Arabidopsis thaliana: one gene and its partner. The protein of the gene in region 1 interacts with the protein of each later gene in a biochemical or structural test. Each region holds a gene or a part of one and is shown on either strand. Other genes may lie near its edges. The genes, in order: PIN7 and D6PK.

Region 1 (5,937 bases):
GGTAAAAATAGTTGTTTTCACAATCCGATTTTGTCACTTATCCAAGGAAACTAATTAGATTTTGATCTAAACTGGATATTTATTTTATGTGTGAAGCTTGTGTTTGTGAACCCTCTAAGCGAAGTGGTGGAGAAGCTTCAAAGAGCTGACGAACAAAAAGAGTTCATGAGGCCCGAGTTTCTCTTCTTAACCGTCGCTGAGGCCGTTGCGTCGCTCTCTCTTAAAGGGCCATCTCTCAGTAACGTTTAACTATAATTTTTTGTATCGGTCCAATATTGATATTTAACCGATGGTTAAATTTTTCTTTTTGTCTCTTTTTCATCTTTTAATTTCAGTACAGATGTAATATTACGTTCTTCTCTCTCTTTCTTCAGTGATGATTTTGGTCAAGATATGTTTGTATGATTTCGCCATTTTGTAGTTTACTAGGCCATGTTTAGTCTCCGAGAATAAAATTGATCTAGAATCGAATTGATATCTTAGCTAGATCAAACGGATGTATATCCAAATTATTTATGAAATAAACTGATTAAATAAAAAAATAAAAATAATATTTTTATTTAAGATAATTATGTTTTATAATATTAGAAAATATGACCAAACCATGAGCAGAATTGTGTTAAGAACTTTGCCAAGTTAGAGCTTACATTATATATCAAAAGTCAATGTGTAATTGTCAAGAGGGATAAACCGACGCGGATGAATCGAAGAAGCAATTGCTTTCAAGAAGACTTCAAATCAGCTATGTGTCTGCGATTATAATTGTGTAAACGTTATAAGCAAGAAATTTATCTCAAAATAAAACTGGTCTATAAATCAAATCGAATTGAAAATTTAGCTAGATTAAAAGATGAAATGAACTGATAACATAAACTAATAGATATTTTTAATAAGATGTTACTACTTTTGTGAAATGATAAAATATTTCTGAAGTTAATCGAATTCATTCAAAGCTATGATAACATTGTGACTTCTAGGAAAAAACAATTCTTGATACGGTCGCGGAAAGATCTTGATAACATTGTGACTTCCAGTCTTCCATATGGCATAAGGTATTCTTTTACACTAATACTTTCCCGACAACAACAACGAAAAACTCCAACCTTTTTTTAAAAGGCCACATAGAATGCATGATAGACCATCTGAAAGAAAATGGACAGGGTGGCTTAAAAGTGAGATTTCTTGGGATTGCATAGGATGTTATAATTAACCCTAGCTTGAAAAAAAAAAGACGATTAGACAATAAGAAATAGAATTTAGGTCAACTTAGTTCGGCGAATATGATCTTGCATTGCACCTTCTTTACCAATTTATAGTGATCTTTTGCTCCTTATAAGCACATGTTTAAATCACCACTACGACATTGTTTCTGTTTGGGCCAAATGCACACTTGTATTTTATCTCACAACGAGCTTATGAGAAATCAATCCTAGTAATACGTTAAGTGGCCCAAGAAGTTTTGGACCGGCATTTACGTGTATATAAAAAAATATTATGATTACTTTTAGATGAAACCACACTTAATTTCTTCTTTTTTCTTGGTAAACCACAATATCTCTTTATTGTTTTTATCAAGGATTCACAAAATTCATTGAATGGAAATTTTCATTTATGTGTGACATGTAGACAGTCAGTCCACTCTAAAAAATCTCAGTCAATTTCGTAACAAATTCATAACCTATTTCAAACACAATTCATAACCATAACTTATAAATACTACATAAATGATATTTCTTTATATCATCTTAAATGGTACATAAATTAGGGGAAAGCTAAGATATATATAGTATTAAAAAGTACAAAAATAGATAAGGTTTATAAATGTTTAAAGAAGTAATAAAATAGAAATAAGAACTAATTAGGTCGTCATGTGTTTGCTGTATAAAAAGCTGTAAAGGGACATCTCTCGTAAATCTAAAAATCATCAAATCTTCTCCTTCTCTCTCTCTCTCTCACACACTCACTAGCTTCTCTGTTAAAAGCTTCCGTCATCACATAGAGAACAGAGACTGACACTAACTCACTTCCTAACGGTTTCCACACTCAAAATTACACTTTTGCCACTCCGGCGAACAACAATATGATCACATGGCACGACCTCTACACCGTCCTCACGGCGGTGATACCACTCTACGTAGCCATGATCCTCGCTTACGGCTCAGTCCGGTGGTGGAAAATCTTCTCACCAGACCAATGTTCCGGCATAAACCGCTTCGTCGCTATTTTCGCCGTCCCTCTTCTCTCTTTCCACTTCATCTCCTCAAACAATCCTTACGCAATGAATCTCCGATTCATCGCAGCCGATACACTCCAAAAACTAATCATGCTCACTCTCCTAATCATCTGGGCTAACTTCACTCGCTCCGGTAGTCTTGAATGGAGCATCACAATCTTCTCTCTTTCAACACTTCCCAACACTCTCGTTATGGGAATACCTCTCTTGATCGCCATGTACGGAGAATATTCCGGCTCACTCATGGTTCAGATCGTTGTTCTTCAGTGTATAATCTGGTACACGCTTCTTCTCTTTCTTTTCGAATACAGAGGAGCTAAGATCTTGATCATGGAACAGTTTCCAGAGACTGGTGCTTCGATTGTATCGTTCAAAGTTGAGTCCGATGTTGTTTCTTTAGATGGACATGATTTTCTTGAAACTGATGCTCAAATCGGTGACGATGGTAAGCTTCATGTTACGGTGAGAAAATCAAACGCTTCTCGGAGATCTTTTTACGGTGGTGGTGGTACTAATATGACTCCTCGTCCGTCTAATCTCACCGGAGCTGAGATTTATAGTCTTAACACTACTCCAAGAGGATCTAACTTCAATCATTCTGATTTTTACTCTATGATGGGGTTTCCCGGTGGCCGGCTTTCGAACTTTGGTCCGGCGGATATGTACTCTGTTCAGTCCTCGAGAGGACCTACTCCTAGACCTTCGAATTTTGAGGAGAGTTGTGCTATGGCTTCTTCGCCAAGATTCGGGTATTACCCGGGAGGAGCTCCCGGGTCGTACCCAGCTCCTAATCCGGAGTTTTCTACCGGTAATAAAACCGGTAGTAAAGCTCCAAAAGAGAATCATCATCATGTAGGAAAATCAAATAGTAATGATGCTAAGGAGCTTCATATGTTTGTTTGGGGATCCAACGGATCACCCGTTTCGGACCGAGCTGGTCTTCAAGTTGATAATGGAGCCAATGAACAAGTCGGAAAATCCGATCAAGGCGGTGCAAAAGAGATTCGAATGTTGATCTCTGATCATACTCAAAATGGTGAAAACAAAGGTTTTTAACTTTTAAATTGTATTTTTTTTTGTAACATATGGACACAAATCTCAAACTGTATTTGCTTAAATTTGTAGCTGGTCCGATGAACGGGGACTATGGCGGGGAAGAAGAGTCGGAGAGGGTAAAGGAAGTGCCTAACGGACTACACAAGCTTCGGTGTAACTCCACAGCAGAGCTAAACCCTAAAGAAGCTATAGAAACGGGTGAAACTGTACCGGTAAAACATATGCCACCAGCGAGTGTGATGACTCGGCTGATATTGATAATGGTGTGGAGGAAACTCATAAGAAACCCAAACACTTACTCTAGTCTCATTGGTCTCATTTGGGCTCTTGTTGCTTTCAGGTAACTTAATCAAAAATCAACTACTAGTGGAAGTTTATTATTATTGTGAGATTTGATTAGAGTGATGATTATGGTAATTTGGATATGAAGGTGGGATGTGGCAATGCCTAAAATTATTCAACAATCAATCTCAATTCTTTCTGATGCTGGTCTTGGTATGGCAATGTTCAGTTTGGGTGAGTCATCTTTTTACTCTGTTTCTTTTTTCCGTTAACTCATTTACTTTCTTTCTATTTTTACGCCAATCAAATGTCACAACATCCACATTCGTACGGAAAAAATTGTAACTTTTTTTTGGTGAGGATTCCAATAATTGAAAATGGTTGGTATTTTTTAAGATTTTTTGGGATGGCCCGTTACGGCATGGACCATCCGACAGGTAGGGTCATTGATGCGACGTCGAATTATATAAACGGTCGTGGTGGGATGACATAGCTCGTGTTCTTGATTGTTGTCGTGGTCCCCATATTAAGTGGAAGTTGATTGGACTTACAATGTACATGAATGCATCATCATCATCATTTATTGGATTTAGATTACGTTTACATGTATTGCATCATTCAGCACTTGTTGTTTTGAGTGGAAATGAATTAACTGAAAATGTGAAAATGGTGAAGGGTTGTTCATGGCATTGCAACCGAAATTAATTGCTTGCGGAAATTCGACGGCGACTTTTGCGATGGCGGTGAGATTCTTTACTGGACCAGCGGTAATGGCCGTGGCAGCAATGGCTATTGGATTACGTGGAGACCTATTGCGTGTGGCCATTGTTCAAGTAAATTAAACTATTTTCGTTTGTTGTTAACAATCTCTTTGTAAGAAGTAGTTTAACCAAATCTTGTGGTAACGTTGTAGGCTGCATTGCCTCAAGGGATCGTGCCGTTTGTGTTTGCAAAAGAGTATAATGTTCATCCCGCAATCTTGAGTACAGGGTAAGTATTTCATATTGAACCAATAGTAAAACTTTTCTTATGCATAAGAGAAGATTACTAATATTGTTGATTCTTATGTGTATTATTGCAGGGTAATATTTGGAATGCTTATCGCACTACCGATTACACTTGTTTACTACATTTTACTCGGGCTATAAGCTCTTCAATGGAGAAGTTCTGCTTGGCTGAAGAGGATAAAGAGAAACAAGATAATTCCAAGATTAGTGGAACGCAACTAGAAAATGTAATGTAACACGAAATGTAGTAAATTTAAAGGGACCAAGATTTGATTTGAGGATCCAAAAACCCTTTTCTTGTCTATATATTTTCTAGAGATTATTTGAGAAAGAAGGTGATGGAATGAGAGAGACAAGAGGACCAAAACAAGGGAAAGCAAAAAAAACAGAGGACTAAGATTTGATTTGAGGATCCAAAAACGCTTGTATATTTTCTCTTCTTTTTTTATAAGAAGGGTAAAGCTTTGTTCATATATTTTGACTTGCAATAATTTCTCTTACTTTCTACTTTCATTTTGTTTAAAATTAGGTAGGTACGGTATTCATTTTTTGTTTGTTTTGTGTTTTGTGTAGGTTACTTCTTTCGACGAAAGTGTGTTTTTGTGGATTTTCCTTTCTCATCTAGTATACATTGCTCTCACAAAAGTAAGGACTGTTTTATTCCAATTAAATAAAGAAAATGACCTCTTAGTTAGCGATTAGGCGTGAAGATATATTACAATTGGTTTTATTTAATTTTTGTTCTTGTCTCATGACGTATATGATTATATTTATATTATAATTACATCAAAAGATATGAAATGAAGAAAATCATATGATAGAATTCGAGTAAAACCAGGAAAAAGATGCACCATTTTCTTACAATTCGGCTCTTCGTTATACATAATAAGGGGAAAATGAGTCCAGAACATCTCAACCCATTGAACTTTTAAATGAAGAAAACTAAACGTTTTACCAATTGAGTCACTTTATATTTTACTATTTTATGTTAGACATATTACTATACTAATTTGGACGTTGAGAAAATTTCTCTCTTTTTTCTCAAAAGGAATTTGTCTAGTATAACTTTAGATGCTGTTTAGACAAGTACGTCGACTTGATAAAGCTCTAGTTACCATTCAGAGCATTGGTTACCATTCAGAAGTGGGTTAGGCGCTTTGCACTCAAAACGCGGTGTCGTCGTTTTAGTAAGCTTTGTGATGTAAACACAAATTATATATAGAAAAATAAAAACATAAAAGTAATAAATTAACAAGCAGAAAGTTACTTAAAAGTCAAAAGCAAAAAATATGAAGAAAAGTAATAGCTGCTTTTTTGGTTTGTGTAAAAGTACTTTACTGCTTTTTCATTGTTTTCATA
Region 2 (4,984 bases), on another chromosome or scaffold:
ATAATTAAGACTTTGAGAGGACTCGATCTAAATCTAAGAGTAAACCTAGAAACTTGTATAAAAATGGATATTCTTACCATTTAAATGTTAAAGCATCCTTAGTGACAGTGTCCAGCTATGATTTAAATTGTAATGAAGAAACTTAGAAACCTTAATCCCTCAAGTATCATGGTAAACAAAACATTTTAATAAACTAAACCTTTTATTTTGTTATTATTGCAGTATTTTTAACCTAAAGAAATGGGATTATAATGAAGAAAGATTCCCCACTCGCGTTTCACGTCACAAGCCGATCGTGTAGCAATTGTCGTTATTGGATCTGAGCTTCTCGATTAAAAATTGACGCAGTAATTGGATCTAATAAGAGCATGAGGTTAAAATATGAATTATTTGAGATATGAGGAAATGAACAAATTATACCCACTTGTGTTCTTTTATGTTGAACAATCTTCTGGTTTGTCAACTACCTGTTGAACCATTTCTAAAAAAACATTGTTTCTGTTCGATTTAAATGTGGGGGAAAAAAAATAAAATACATGAAATATAATCTTAGAATCTAAGGAAACTTATTATTGGGCAATAAATAAGAATTTGCTGAAAAGTTTTAGGGGCATCTTTTGGAACTCTCAAGTTTCAAACAATGGTGAGTCTAATTTTAAATAATTGTTTGGTGTGTTTAGTAAAAAAATAAAATAAAATTAATACACATGACCAATTTACGTATTTGTTATTAGGGAAATTTTTTAAAGGTTTATACAATTTTGGAATGTTTAGTTATTTTTAAAAACTTAAAAGATTTTTTTTTATTGATTTTGGTAAATGACAAAAACTTTCACTAAAAATTTGAAAACAGAATGTTTGACGGATGCTAACAAGCTTTTAGAAAGTATTATTTCGACCATAAAATTGGATGAACACTGGATGTAAATGGAATTGATAACAAAAGAAATCGAGATATAAAATATCTATTGTTATGTCTTCATTCAGCTTATAAGATTTATCATCTATTGGCAATCCGAAAAGATGCAAAACTCTTTGTGATATGGTATGCGCTAATGTTCATTTAATGCCTCAAGTTTCACCCATTAGAACACAAGAAGAAACTTCCGAAGATGCTGCATGATGACGAAAACATACGCTTAGGACGATGTTTTCCAAACCGCATAAATAAAACAGAAAATTATAGTTTGGTGGCACGCATATGGGATTGTCCTTCTAACAAAAATGTGCATTCACAATAGTTCTTACTTAGAATTGCTAAACTGAAAAACTCGTGTGAAAACTTAAGCTAAATATGTAAAATCCATAAATTTATGCATAGAGGTAAACATCAATTTTTTTTATCATCAAGTAAAAGGCACATGACAGATTCATGAGAATAGATGAAAGATAAGAATGTTGAATTTTAATAATTTAAATTGATGTGTTTAATAATTTAAAGAATCAAAAAGGAATTTTTTTGGTAAATATATATAAAAATTTCTATAGACAATTATTTAGAAAATCAAAATATAAAGTAAACATGTAGGAAATATACAATAACATGTATCAATAAAAATTTGGTTGCCCTAAAAAGCCTAAAATTATTAACAGCTCGCGAGAGCATTCTTGATGTAAACATATGTCTTCCATTTTGGAGAAAACAAAAAAAAATACATTGAAATAATTGAAATTCCCTCAAAATAAAAAAAATAAAAAAAAGTATTCAACTTTTTATTTGACCCTCTCTCTCCTCTTCCCTCTTTTCATGGTAGACCCAATTCTCTCTCTCTCTTAACAACACTCTCTCCTCTCTCTCCCTCTCTCTATCTATCCCCATTTCCATGGAAGCAAGCAGATGTGTTCTTACATCTCTTTCTCTCTCTACAGCCTTACATGAACAGTGACTGTTCTCTCTCTTTCCCTCTCCTTCCTTTTTTCTTCTACTTCTCCTTCCCTTTGCTTCGAAAAGGGTATCTCGTGATCTTTATCGCTCAAAAATCTTCACTTTCAGGTAACGATTTATTGGGTCTCTCTCTCTCTCTCTCTCTCTCTCTAAAGCTCTGTTCTTTTTATTTCTTCTTTTTCTGGGTTTTATTCTCTGATTCTTGCTAGATCCAAAAGTTCTTTATTTTGCCTCTTCTTCTTCTTTACTTTAACGAGATCTGTTTTTACCCTTAAAGACTCAAAATAAAAATCCAAACTTTTTGCATGAAGAGCTTTAATTGATTTGTCACTTAGATTTGATATTTCAATTTGGGTAAAATTTTGTGCATCTACTTAAACTTTCATCTGTAGTAAGATCCGTGATTGTTGTTTCTGAGTCTTCTCAATCCAGCTTTAAACTGATGCTATTGTTTTGTTTTGATGACTATAGATCAGGCCACTCGTTGATGGAATCTGTGACAGTATTGATTACTAGAGAGTAAAGACAAGTTCTTTAAATCTCAGGGAAGAAGGAATTGGTGTTTAAGATTGCTCTGTGTTAATGATGGCTTCAAAAACTCCAGAAGGATCACTTACCAATTCCAGTCAAAGTATGTCAATCAACACTTTAGCAGATCAAGTATCTTCGAGTTTGTCTTTCGCTGATCCAAGTAGTGATGGCAAAACCGGTAATAGTAAGATCAACGAGCAAGGTGAGAGTGGAAAGAGTAGCACTTGTAGACCAAGTACAAGCAGTGATATAAGCGATGAGAGCACTTGTAGCAGCTTTAGTAGCAGTATCAACAAACCTCACAAGGCTAATGATGTGAGATGGGAAGCTATTCAAGCTGTTAGAACTAAACATGGTGGTTTGGGTTTGAATCATTTTAGGCTCTTGAAGAGGTTAGGATGTGGAGATATTGGAACTGTTCATCTTGCTGAGTTGAATGGAACTAGGTGTTATTTTGCGATGAAGGTTATGGATAAAACTGCTTTGGCTAGCCGGAAAAAGCTTCTTAGGGCTCAAACTGAAAGAGAGATATTGCAGTGTCTTGATCACCCGTTTCTTCCGACTTTGTATAGTCATTTTGAGACAGAGAAGTTCTCTTGTTTGGTGATGGAGTTTTGTCCTGGTGGTGATTTGCATACACTAAGGCAGAGACAACCCGGGAAACGCTTCACCGAGCAAGCAGCTAAGTAAGAAACTTTTTCTAAACTTTCTTTATCTAAGAATCTAGTTTTGTGCGTTTATATAACCTTAGTGACTTGCTGTTTTGCAGGTTTTATGTCGCGGAAGTGCTTCTTGCAATGGAATATTTACACATGCTTGGGATCATTTACCGTGATCTGAAACCCGAGAACGTTCTTGTGAGAGATGATGGGCACGTGATGCTTTCGGATTTTGATCTCTCCCTGAGATGTACTGTGAGCCTCTCTATAGTCAGATCAGCTAATGTTGGATCCGAAGGCTTGTCGAAGAATTCGGTTTCTTGCTCGCAACAACCTGCATGCATCCAGCAACCATCTTGCATCTCAATGGCTCCAACATCTTGCTTCGGTCCTCGGTTCTTCTCATCGAAATCCAAGAAAGACAAGAAACCGAAAACCGAAAACGGGAACCACCAAGTAACTCCGTTACCAGAACTCGTTGCAGAGCCCACAGGCGCCCGTTCTATGTCTTTTGTTGGCACACACGAGTACTTAGCTCCAGAGATCATCAAAGGTGAAGGACATGGAAGTGCAGTTGATTGGTGGACCTTTGGGATCTTTCTTTATGAACTATTGTTTGGTAAAACACCGTTTAAAGGGTCAGGAAATCGAGCAACGCTCTTCAACGTGGTTGGTCAGCCTCTTAGATTCCCTGAATCTCCGGTTGTTAGCTTCGCAGCTAGGGATTTGATAAGGAGTTTGCTTGTGAAGGAGCCACAACATAGATTAGCTTATAAGCGTGGAGCAACAGAGATAAAGCAACATCCTTTCTTTGAAGGAGTGAATTGGGCTCTGGTTCGATGTGCCAGTCCACCGGAGATTCCTAAACCGGTTGATCTTGAAGCTTTGAATCCTACTCCTACTGTGCCAGCAGCCGCATCTTCGAGTGTAAGATCTGATCAGAGTAATTATCTTGAGTTTGATTTCTTCTGAAGAAACTGTTTCCACAGTTGATGATTCTCATTATTGTTTCTTTGCAAATTCTGTTTAGTGTTTTCTACAAATGTGTTTCTTTTTTTTTCTTCTTTTTAATTTTCACGTCTTGGAAAAAGTTATGAGATTTGTAATCATTCTTCAAAGTTGTGAGACAGTCTCTGTACCATCTTCTTGAGTTTAATGTTAGACACGAACCATTGAGAATCCATTAATCCACCATATCAAAACCTCAAAAGTTCCTTGCTTTTCATTGATCTGAACTCTAAACCAAATTGACTAAACCCGTAATTACTTACAAATGGATATATAATAATCATATGTTATCAACAAGCAGTTCTTACTTAAGAGTTAAAACCCTCTTCTAACTCTGTACAGACGAAGAGGAAACAACTAATCTAAAGACTGAGATAATTACCATTGCATAGAAGCTAAATATAAAACACATAGCTTCATTTCAATTGTTTATAGCAGTTATAAGCAATAGCCACAGATGCAGCAGCACAAGCAACAGCTAAAGCAGCATATGTATCTTCTCTCTCCCAAGTCTCCAACCACATTGACATCACCGCACAAACCTTGAATCCACCAGAAGATCCATTCTCGCTGCTTCCTATCCGAAGAGATGCATTTTTTACAGAGGTTACTCTCTCCGAGGTATTTTTCTCTGTGTGAATCTCCTCCAGACAGTAAGAGGAGTTCCCATTTTGTTGGCAACCACTACCGTTCAGCTCTGGGACAGCTCGAGACTGGCAACAGATACTATTATTAACTGATTCTTGAGTCACCTCTCTGTTGCTGATCTTTTCGCTGTTTAATTGTAACCTTTGTTCTTGAGTTTTCTTCTGATCTTCTTCTGGCAGACCCATTTCACCCCTGGAAAACAATCAATAAGTGTTGTTTAAAGGCCGAAATTCTTTTTAGAGACTGTCTAAAT

What was found.
Region 2: of the proteins of PIN7 (region 1) and D6PK, one has a biochemical effect on the other in vitro, tested with the Arabidopsis thaliana proteins (one study listed by BioGRID).

Annotation. Positions count from the first base shown.
Region 1 is NC_003070.9:8,179,550-8,185,486, reverse strand, and holds PIN7 (Auxin efflux carrier family protein), read left to right. Parts: upstream 1-1,836; 5' UTR 1,837-2,080; coding exon 2,081-3,281; intron 3,282-3,358; coding exon 3,359-3,629; intron 3,630-3,719; coding exon 3,720-3,805; coding exon of another isoform or gene 3,806-3,843; exon of another isoform or gene 3,844-4,246; coding exon 4,247-4,404; exon of another isoform or gene 4,405-4,484; coding exon 4,485-4,561; exon of another isoform or gene 4,562-4,652; coding exon 4,653-4,719; 3' UTR 4,720-5,298; downstream 5,299-5,937. Other genes in the region: AST91 (sulfate transporter 91), read left to right, coding at 1-1, 97-249. UniProt on the Arabidopsis thaliana protein: Acts as a component of the auxin efflux carrier. Mediates the initial auxin gradient which contributes to the establishment of the apical-basal axis in early embryogenesis.
Region 2 is NC_003076.8:22,639,118-22,644,101, reverse strand, and holds D6PK (D6 protein kinase), read left to right. Parts: upstream 1-1,687; 5' UTR 1,688-1,993; exon of another isoform or gene 1,994-2,239; intron 2,240-2,356; 5' UTR 2,357-2,467; coding exon 2,468-3,102; intron 3,103-3,185; coding exon 3,186-4,047; 3' UTR 4,048-4,289; downstream 4,290-4,984. Other genes in the region: AT5G55900 (Sucrase/ferredoxin-like family protein), read right to left, coding at 4,500-4,923.